3 linked regions of the Caenorhabditis elegans genome follow. The protein of the gene in region 1 interacts with the protein of each later gene in a pairwise test. Each region holds a gene or a part of one and is shown in the gene's direction. Other genes may lie near its edges. The genes, in order: crmb-1, crim-1 and abu-10.

Region 1 (3,756 bases):
GAGAGCTCGCAGTGACCTTGGTTCTGGAGATTCGCAGCTAAAAATTCACGAGTAACCGTTTTAAGACATGGGCTATCGAATGGCATAGGTTTCATATGCAAGTCTGATGGGCACCTTCTGATGGTTCCCTAGTTAGGCTTAGGTTTTGTCATAGGCTAAGGTTAGGCTTATGCCCAGGCTAAGGGCCATACTTACGGTATATTCTTAGCTTGTGCTTGAGCTGATGCTAGGAATATACCTTATCTTCTCACAAACGGAAATTTCTCGTTGAATTTAACAGAATAGTATACTTCTTGGAAAAACGTTCAATTAAAATGAATAAAACAATTTTAGGGATGCGACGGCAACTCCAATCGATTCCAATCGAAAGAGGCTTGTGAATCAGCTTGCCGGAACGCGACTGCTTCTGACGATTTAGCTTACGGTTAGTTGAACAATGGATGACAAAGGTGTATAATAGTTTTTCAGCTGTATGTCCATCTGGAGCATACCCAGCTGGAGCCACTTCTGGTCAGACTGTTGGATGTTCGAATTGCCCACATGGTTACGAGTGTCAAAATCAACAATGCTGTCCAACAAAAGGTTACTATTTTCTGAAGAGATTTTGAAAAGTTATAGTGATCTTTAAAACACAAGTTTAAAGCGGTTTGTACTTTGTCTGAACACTGGTGTTTTAGAACTAAAAACTCTGTTTCGATGTGTAAATATTTATTCAAATGTGAAAGAAGCACAACAAAAGATCGAAGAAATTTGCAGAAAACACATGTAGTTTGCAGTACGACGCTGGAAAATTCGGATCTAGTGGAAAACATACACCCAGGTAAGAATTCAACTAATTTTTATTGTACTTTCACGGATTCAATAAATTAAATTTCAGATATTTCTTCTCAAAGTCCTACAAGAACTGCATGCTGTTCACTTTCTATGGCCGCGATGGAAATGCTAACAACTTTGCTACGTACAACGAATGCAAAAACTTTTGCATGTAACATTTTAGCAAATAACAGTAGTTTTCTTAATGTATATAAATATTTCAAACGAAAACAATTTATTTTGCACAAAGACCTATATAAATGAATCATGCAAGTTGATAAAAATTACCAAAAAATCAAGTAAAGACGTGTTTAAATATCTTAATACTAGTTCAAAATAGATATTATTTACAGTAATATCACGGAACAGAGAAACTGGAATATCATAATAACTTCTTGCCACGATTTTAGTGGATAATCAATACATATAAGTACGAATAAACATAGTCATGTACTATATTACGTTAATTGAAAATTTTTCGGTAGCATTTCTAGTTTTATAGTTATACTTATTTGAAAAATTAGTGAAATTATCAAAAAACTAAAAGTGGATATCTTTTCGGCCAGCACTGTAATTGAATGTATTGTTTTCGCAGTTTTTTTAAAAATCATTTTTTATTTTGTTACTTACATTCGAGCGCACCCTTCAGATGTCTGCCGAAATAGCTTTTCTAAAAACTTGTGAAATTGAAAAGAGTTCAAATTTTCGTTGCAAAATCTTTTAATACATTCGGATTAAGAAGAATTTGTGTAAAACAAAAATGCTCAGTTTTCAATGTTTGCATGTTTTGAACAAATGCCTTGTTTAATGTTCTTAAAATCTTTTAAAACCAAAAACTCAAAGTATCAAACGCTATTGAAAACATTTATGTAGTTTAATTCATTCCTTGTTTCAATGCTTCATTCATTGTTTTCTGATCATCCAAAATGTTTGCTTCTTGCGTTATTCGATCATAAAAATAAAACGGTTTCAAAAAGTTCCGCTCGAGGCCAATTTGCAGCAGAGGAAGATGGAAGTGCACGCGCATCGAAGCAGTTTACAACTTCTCATGAAAGTGGAATCAAGACACATCCGTGGAAAATGATTCAGTTGAAGCTACAATTGTGTGAAATTAACGCCTACAAGACAATCTAAACAATCAGAATTGAACTTTCAAGATGTTTTCTTTCCTTTAGACAAAGTTTGTAAAATACTCAATTTTGTTCTATAGTAATTTTTGATAATGCTGTTTTAGGAGTTTCTGTCAATTTCAAAATGCTTCGTCTTCTTATTTTGCCAACAATATTGATAATACCTTTCTCAAATTCATGCATGACAACTTATCCAGCAGACACTCCTATTATGTAAGTTTCATTATTGTTGCCTTAAAATAATATATATATTCCTAAAGAACGCAACCTCCATCTCCAGATTCACCATCATCTTCCAATGGCTCCAGCACCAGTCTTAGCGAAAATTTGAATAACAACTCCGTTTCTAACCAAATCGAATATGTTAATCAAAATAATAATAGTGATAATTTTACAGTCGGCCTAGGATTTTTAGGGGCTTCTGGAAACTATGGAAATTATAGTTCACATTTGAATAATAACCTTTCTATTAGTCAAAATCAAAGCGTTTCCCTAAATTCTTCAAGTTCTAGTGTAGGAGCTGGGTTAACGCCTGGAAACGGATCAGTGGGTAGCACATCCAACTCCAGCTCGGCAGCTAGTTCAATTCAAAACATAGGTTTAAACAGTAGTCTGATCAACTCTAACACTAATAATTTGTCAAGTTCTAGTCATAGTATGTCAGGATCGAACAATAATAATAGTAATAATAACGTGGTTAATAATTATTTGACCGTTTATGGTAATAATGGAAGCTCTGGAGGTGGTTCCGGAAGTGGAGGTGGAAGTGGACCGGGAGCTGACTCACCAAGAATTCATTGCTGCCGTCCATGTTGTCCATATAGTCATCACCGTCGGTTGTGTGATCCTTGCTACTGCTCCAATCGACCAGAGTCACACCGAGATTCTTCTTCGTCCGAAGAAGTAAACGATGCGCAAAGTGATGAAAACACTTATTTCCAATGTAAGTAAAAATCAACTTTAGGAGTAATTTTTAACATTTGAAAAAAATGTTTCGATTGCAGAATATTTTCCATTTGTTACTCCACCTCTCTCTTTCTCTCTCTCTCTCTTAAATACTAACTCCTGTTGTTGCATTACTATTTTTCAGTACACTAATTTTTAGAGACTATAAAAATCATCATAATTTTTCTGATAGCGTTTTTTGTTGAATGGGTAAAGTATCCCTGTTAACCAAATTTAAAAACTTCAACACTTAAAATTGTCACTGGGAACCATTTCCTATCCACAAAAATTTCCAACGACACTACTGAATTCTCTCACTTGAAAGAGTTTCAGATATGTAACTTATAAAAAGTTTTCCCGTTCATACTGTTATCATTAACTTCCCCTGTTAATAACGCTTTAAAATGTTATGTTTCAGTTGACTTCATTGGAGTGGACGGACATCATGCTCGGCGAGTTTTACCTCCGAGTTGGAGGATTCTACGTAATTCGAAAGCTGAATCATCTGATGAATCGTCTTTAAGTGGTGAACAAAGAAGACCATGTGAAAACCGACGGCATAATAAATTTAGATGCCGTTCAAACTGTGGATCTTCCGAAAATTCCTCAGAAGAAAATACGTTGTGTCTATTCGATAGATGCAGAAGAAATAGAAGGTGCGGTGCTTTTCATAGATGTGCTCATCTTCCATGTTGTAAATTTGGAGGGAAGAAGTGCATGTTGGAATGCATCAGATCTAGCTGCCTTCCTAGATATGTAGAATGTCATCGAAGGCGGCGTTGTTCAAGAAAACAAAGATGTCACACAACAACACAACCACCAAGCCCCACGACAGAATCACTTCCAACTTCTACAACAACCTACGAAA
Region 2 (3,756 bases), on another chromosome or scaffold:
TTGGCTACCGATGATGCTTGCTCTTCGAGCACCCGCAGCTGATCGACATTCTACTGATAACCATGAAAATGAGTCAAACACATTCCATTTTCTAACCTCTTGTCATTTTTTCCTTTCGAAGGCAAAAGGAGAAATATACCGAAGAGACATTTCGACGCCAATATACACTGTAATCAATCTTCTCACCTTCACGCCAATCATCCTCTCGATCATCATCCTTTCTCGATAGTTTCAAACTGTTTTCTTTTTTTCTTTTTTTAGTGAAAGACGTCGATGAAGTGTTTGTGATAAAAAATTACCGAGCTACAAGAGAAGAAAGGGAATTTTTGCTGAAAAGGCATTCCGTTCCACTCTTTCTCCTCTATCTCTGAAATTCCTCTTCTAATATTTTTACACCCTCACTAATAACAAAACACCTCTCCTTCTTTACCATACATTCATCTCATTTTCTATCTTTTATCACACCGTTCCTTACCGGTTTCTTATTTGAGGCAGCATGTATTTCAATGAGACCTCCATGAGACGTTTTTTTACCTTTTCCCGTCTAGACCCGCATAATCTAAATGGTTTCAATGTTTCCTTTTCCATCTCTCATCGACTCGTTTTTTGTCTATTTTCTTGTCCTCGTTCACTCAAGTTGATAAGAGCATTTTGAACACATAAAAAATTTACTATGGCCTAAACCAGGCGATTTTTATTGAGTTTTCATAAGAATCGTTTTTTGTGGAACATTGTGTACTTTTTTAAAGTTAAAGAAGTATTATTTCAAATTTAATACGATTTGAATGCTCTTCGATCATTCGGCTGATTGGCATGTCTTCCTAATTAATTGGAAACTTCTCAATAGAATACCACAAAATATAGCACTACCCTTATTGATATACTTTAAGAAACTATTTCTAGGTTTTCTTCGGCTTAAAAATGTAGCACATAAATTTGGTGCCAATTACTTTTTGATATTTTAGTATTGACAAAATTTGTGATAATACCAAGGATAACCAAATATGAGCTGCCAAGATAGAGCATTAAATGTACAAGGCTAATAGGGAAAGTACCGTAATCTTTTTGTAAGGTTGACACGCTTAGCGACCAGTTTTCTGTGTGTTTTTCAGGGTTTCATTTTCTCCAGATTTCAAATATTCCAGGTTTCCTGCTCCTCAATATTCTTTTTTTCTGCATTTCAAACGGTAAATTCTTTAGTGAACGTTGAAGATAATTCCGGAATCATTTGAAAGTTGAATTCTTCAAATGAACATTTTGCACGAGACGTAATAGTTTTATCAGTAATAAAATCACTTGTTATTTTTGAAAACTAGATAACTTCTCTTCTCTTGAAAAACTGTGGAATAAAACAAATAGTTAAGTAAAAACTGTTCTTTTGAGTAGGTAGCATAGGAACATCCACCTATTTTTTTTTGTTTGATCTGGTTCTAGTTTCTAAAGTAAACATGAATAAACTTAGAATCTTTGATGAAAGTCATTATCAATGTTATAACACGGAACTAGGTCTCCTTTGTCAAATGAACTGAGTGTTTCTTCTTAATTATGTTGTTGTTTCTTTCTATTGAATTGCAAAACAAAGTGTTCTAATCCATCGGGCGCCAGTTCGGTATACTACGAGCTTCTGCTACCATCTTTCTGTCTCCGCGCACCTTCATCATTTTGTCTTTCGCCCAATGTCAACAGACCTTTTTTCGTCTCCCTGCTTGCTCGCTTGTGTTCTTTCTCTTTGACAGTGCAGCTTCTTCACCGATCGACTCGGATCACTTTCGTTGTCTATAACCTCTCTGATTCTTGTGCTTTACCGTCGTGAAGATCCCGCGCAGTTCGATTTTCAAAGGCGGGGCCTGCACAGACACAGTTCATTTCAAATTGGGACACTACGAGACGGTCTCTCTGTTTCTCGTTTTACTTACTTTTTCATTTGAATTGAAATCTTAGTTACATGGTCCCAAAAAAATCGACAAAAAATTTATATACATGACTACAATTTTCATATTTTTCTTTGCAGAGCTTGTGGGCCGTTCATCACGCGGCTTCTCCGCTGAACGGCAAAAACGGTTATGCAGAATTGTTGAAATGCAGTGGTCAAGTAGTATTATTTTACTCTTCACATTTCTTATCATTTCCAATGCAAAAAACCAAAAGACCACATTGTGCGGGACATGTGACAAGGATTCATGTCCAGATGTTTCAGGATGCGAGCAATTGAAAAAGGATCAGTGCGATTGCTGCGAAGTGAGTAATTTAAAATTTTGATAGAAAACGAACTATGGTTTAACAATTCTTTAAAACTTATTTTTAAAATTAATTTTAATATTCTAGTTCCTCAGTTTTAATTTTCTTTTTAAAATTCCAGAACATTGAATGTGAGCTTTTGAAATAATTTTCCACAATTTCTCATGACTAAAATTCTAACTATTATCATAAATCCCCAATAACTTAATTATTATTGGACAATGATCAAATGAACAAATGAAAGGATCAAATGCTCAGTGAAACAACTGAATAAAGATGAGCTTTAATGTATTATGCTACACAGTCAAATCAGTACCAAAACGAAGAACCGTTTGATAGAAACGCATAATTCAGATACCGTGTATCCTCTTAGAGCTCTTATTCCTCTTATTCCTATAATGAAATTGCACATAGATAGGTTCCCGATAATTAGTACTTTTTTTACTAATAGAGGAAACACGGTACATTAAAAATAATCCTAATTGCTTTGAAAGTGGTTCAACTTTCTAAGTTTCAAATGATAATAACTGTCCCTTAAATCTTACTTTCGGTTTTTAAACCGCGGTTTTAGTTATAATTTTGTTTCTACAAAAAGAAATACACTGAATAAACTTAAACATAAGTCAAAAGTCTATAAAAAAGTATGTGCGGTCTTTTTTAACGGCTTTCAAACAATAAACAAAAAGTTATACTTGCAGGTCTGCATTCGACAAATCGGTGAAACTTGCGACGGGCCTGGTCTTGTTTGTGATTCGCATCTTTCATGTCATCAGGAAAACGATCTTGATGGTTCAAGTCGATGTAAAGGTATATTTTCTTCAATATTTCAAAGTCCCTTTGCATGTTTCATTCGATTTGAAAGAACTTTGGTTGTTTTTTCGAGGTCCAGAATGCTTCCTAATTAAAAAGAAAAGGGTGCTCTAGAGTTACTATTGGGCTTATTTTATTGCTGAAATTTGATAGGGTTTCTTCTCAGTCTCTCTATCTCTCTCTCTCTTTCATTTTCTCTTCCTATAAAAAATGACTTCTCAAAATGGTGGCGGTTCTCTTGTGCTGAGGCTTCTCGTGTGTGCTCGCCGGACGACGCAATCCACCCTGCTCTCCCGAATATACAATTTCTATTTACTTTACTTCACTCTGCCCGCAGTTTTTTAACCAAAAAGTCCTCTATGTTGTGTCCGCAGATAGGGCGGCTTGCAAAGGTAGAAAATGGGTTGGACTAACTTGAGAATTGAAACGATCTTGTTGTGGATAAAAAATCGGACAATGTAGGCAATGGGGATATCAAGTAATTGAAATATTGCAAGGATTCTGAGCATACCAAAACTTGAATGTTGTTAAAAAATACTTAGATTGTTCAAAAATAAATTGTTTTTATCAATTTCTTTCAAGATCTAGAAAAGGAGTGAGCTAGAAAATTCTTGATTGCGGCATGTTGTTCCAATGTTTGGTAATTGGAAGATTTTAAGCCATCATTAAGCACCTCCCAACTCCTTTAACTCAAAATGAAAAGTTTAT
Region 3 (3,756 bases), on another chromosome or scaffold:
GAAATAATAGAAGATTTTGTTATACTTTTGTAATAAAGTTACACGCACTAGTGGACAAAAATGAAGACTACAGCAAACTTCAGTCATTTTTTTTTTATTTTTGAAAACATTTTGAAAAATTTCAAAAAGTTTCTTACAAAATCTTTTCATCTTGTGAAAAGGCTTGCAGCTACACCGTAGATCCATATTTAAAAATAACAGAAGGTTTTGTTTTATAGAGAAACCATTCACAATAAATACTAATACCTTGATGTTAATTATGAAAAAGTCAGAACTCCATGTTTCTTACGTGAAAAAAAACACTGAAAAAAACATTGTTGACCATTTTCAGAAAATAAAATTTAATGGAAACATACTTTTAGTGAATGAGTATTTAATGTAAAACTAGATCACCCTCCCCCCCCCCCCCTCCCAGCAAACTTTTGAGCTCATCCCAATGGTCTGAAAACACGCATAATTCGAAAACGTTCCTCATCACATCAAACGAACATATATTTCAAGTACATGCGTTTTTGCGGGCACACTGATAAAACAGAGCCGGCACAGAGTGCTCACGTACCGGTTCTCGTACGTTGCTCAACTCTCCTGTAACATGACCACCCCTGAGCTTTTAATCCGATTCCGGCGCAACTTTTTGTGCTGCTTTCCTTCATCCTCAGACACAAACATTGCAACCTTTTATCCAGCCGGCAATCGAACTCAACTCAACCCCTCAACCGGTATCTAAAGTAAAGGCAAGCGGTCTGAGTAATGAAGAATGTGATAATTGGGGTTCTTTGTATTTGTTTGTTGGGAGGGAGAAGAATCAACGAGAGATTGTGCAAATGCAACAGCTGAAAGCGTTAACCAGTTTCTCAGCTTGTATTCTTCTATGACGCGGTCTCTATTTACGGACTATTTGCAAATAACGCATCACTTGAACTTTTCAATGCAAGTGTTCGGAGATTGAAAGTTCTGTGTCACTACATTCACGTATTGTTGAAAACTATAACGGATATATTACAAGACGGTCTAGACAAAAATTGGGAAAAAAAGCTCTACTGAAAATGGGATATTAAACTACTACCTTTCAGAAATACTTTCAGAACAATATTACTTGATACAAAAGAAAGATCTTCAAAATAGCTTGCTGGTACTCCAACTAAAAAGATATAATAATCAATTTTTTTTTTACAAATCGGTGCAAAATAGTCGTTCGTTTACTAGTCATGCTTTGAAAAAATTTAAGCTTAACAATGCAACCTAACCTCGATTTTTTTCAAATTAAATTACAATTTCAAATGAGAATAAAGAGAACCTTCTACAACTTGAACATTCTGTGAACTATTGGAAAACACTGGACATTGAATGAAACAAAATTTTTAAACATTCACATTTGCGACGTTGGGCCGTTATTTATTGTCTCGAAAGAGGAAAAAAATGTCTGACAAATTGGAAAAGTACAGTAGATTCAACTGTCACACTTTTTTGTAAAGTAGGGCCTAAAATTAGTAGACTCGAGTTTTGAATTGGTGAGCCAATATCTCTCTTGACACAATTGAAGTGTTTTTAAACTGGTTAGAAGACTAGACTGAAATATATTATAGCTAACATCACTTTGGATAGTATGCGTCTTCGGCAAAATTTCATGTGCGCAAGAAGCCAAAAACAAACAATGTTTATTTGTGTGCACGCATTTTTTCAGCACACGGTTTTCATTTTCTCTGACTAAACTTTTTTCCCCCTCCTTACCATATTCCCACAGGTGCTCTAATCCGATCATAACTACTCATCTGTGTTTGATGCACAATTGAAACTGCCTTCGTTCTTTTTTGTCGCCTGTTCTTGCGCATGCCGGTCTTACCCTCTTGCCATGACTCCTCCCGGCGGGCGCGTATAAATATGAGGAGCAAAAGTTGAGTTGTCAGTAGTAGCTTGGCTTCGAATACTCTCTAACAAAAGCAGCAATGTTCCGCTCTGCATTTTCAATTTTTGCTATTGTCGCCCTGGTGAGATTTCTTTTTTTTTTCATTCCATTTTATTTATAAATTCCCCGCCATTTTCAGGCACTTTCGGCACCAACTCTTAGAGAAAAGCGTCAGGCTTGCTCATGCGCCCCAGTTCAGCAGCAACCATCGTGCTGCCAACAATCCACCATCAATGTCCAGGTTCAGTACACTCAGGTCCAACAAGCTCCAGCTCAAGACCCATGTGCTTGCCAGCCACAGCAGCAGCAGCCTGCGTGCAACTGTGCTCCAGTTCAGCAAGATCCATGTGCTTGCCAGCCACAACAGCAGCAGCCGGCTTGTAACTGTGCTCCAGTTCAACAAGATCCATGCGCCTGCCAGCAACAGCAACCATCCTGCGATTGCGCTCCAGTTCAACAGCAACCAGCCTGTGACTGCCAGGTAGGCTGTTAATGTAAGAGCGACGAATAAAAGTAACCCATCTTTGCAGCCACAACAACAACCAGCCTGTGATTGTGCTCCAGTTGCTCAACAACCAGCTTGTGACTGCCAACAAAACCCATCATGTGTGACCTGCATCCAAATCGAGATCCGTCAGCAACAAGCTCAACAGCCAGCTTGCGATTGTGCTCCAGTTCAGCAGAACCCATGTTGCCAACAAGCTCAGGTACAATATATTTGGTAAATGTTGGATGAACTTTTGAAGTTTCAGCCAGCCTGTGATTGCGCTCCAGTCCAACAGCAACCATCTTGCGATTGCGCTCCAGTTCAACAGAACCCATGCTGCCAACAAGCTCAGGTATGGCATTTTGAACAATTTTTTTTAGTCCGGTAATTTCAGCCAGCCTGCGACTGTGCCCCAGTCCAACAGCAACCAGCCTGTGATTGTGCTCCAGTCCAGCAGAACCCATGCTGCCAACAACAGGCTCAGGTAAATCACACTCCAGAGTTTTCCATTAAGTTTGTGAATTACAGTCAACTTGCGACTGTGCCCCAGTTCAACAGAACCCGTGCTGCCAACAAGCTCAGCCAGCTTGTGATTGTGCCCCAGTTGTTCAGCAAAACCCATGCGCTTGCCAACAGGCTCAGGTAAAGACTATTGCTTTTTGACCAGTAAATTAACTATGGATATCTAAACTTCCAGCCATCCTGTGATTGCGCCCAACAAGCTCAGCCAACCTTCCAAGTCCAAGTTCAACAAGCGCAACCAATCAATCAGTGCGTCCCAGCTTGCCAGCCAGCTTGCCAGTCATCGTGCACCGCTTCGTACACCAACCAACAATCCCAACATTCGTCAGCTACTACTTCCTGCGATGCTAACCAATGCGTATGCCAACGCGGATACGTCAAGTGCGCCGAGCAGACCTGCTGTCTTAGATACAGATACACCAACCGCAAGGCAAAGCGATCGATCGCCTAAACGAACTCATTTCTGACCATGTCTTTCTTTTTCGACTTCACGCAAACTATTTGTACATTTCGGTAATATTATTGCCATTACATAAAGTAGTTTTATATTATTTCCTTTTACACAATGAGTATATGCAATGAAGATATAAATGAAAAAATGATTAAGAATCATTTCTATGATGTTCAAATTACCAATTTTCGTCTAAATTACAACAAAATCACTGAAAAAGATTTGAGAAAAATGCAATTTTCTTTTAGGAAACTCTATTTGAAGTTTGAAAACCAGAAGATTTTCACAAAGGGTTGGTTCTATCATTATCTAAAACAGCAATCGTAGAAGAGATTTGAGAGTTTTCTTCAAAACTAAACTTTTTATATTGTGTTCAATATTGTTAACGAA

The links.
Region 2: the proteins of crmb-1 (region 1) and crim-1 interact in a two-hybrid assay, tested with the Caenorhabditis elegans proteins (2 studies listed by BioGRID).
Region 3: the proteins of crmb-1 (region 1) and abu-10 interact in a two-hybrid assay, tested with the Caenorhabditis elegans proteins (2 studies listed by BioGRID).

Annotation. Positions count from the first base shown.
Region 1 is NC_003282.8:267,283-271,038, forward strand, and holds the start of crmb-1 (Serine/threonine-protein kinase), read left to right. Parts: upstream 1-2,124; coding exon 2,125-2,156; intron 2,157-2,203; coding exon 2,204-2,886; intron 2,887-3,306; coding exon 3,307-3,414; intron 3,415-3,460; coding exon 3,461-3,544; intron 3,545-3,594; coding exon 3,595-3,756. Other genes in the region: T21D12.12 (BPTI/Kunitz inhibitor domain-containing protein), read left to right, coding at 334-424, 469-582, 757-820, 878-989.
Region 2 is NC_003283.11:10,330,368-10,334,123, reverse strand, and holds the start of crim-1 (Cysteine-rich motor neuron 1 protein-like), read left to right. Parts: upstream 1-2,011; 5' UTR 2,012-2,079; coding exon 2,080-2,238; intron 2,239-2,936; coding exon 2,937-3,045; intron 3,046-3,287; exon of another isoform or gene 3,288-3,427; intron 3,428-3,756.
Region 3 is NC_003284.9:3,796,277-3,800,032, forward strand, and holds abu-10 (Activated in Blocked Unfolded protein response), read left to right. Parts: upstream 1-1,905; 5' UTR 1,906-1,946; coding exon 1,947-1,988; intron 1,989-2,045; coding exon 2,046-2,387; intron 2,388-2,436; coding exon 2,437-2,613; intron 2,614-2,658; coding exon 2,659-2,745; intron 2,746-2,787; coding exon 2,788-2,877; intron 2,878-2,921; coding exon 2,922-3,035; intron 3,036-3,090; coding exon 3,091-3,366; 3' UTR 3,367-3,465; downstream 3,466-3,756.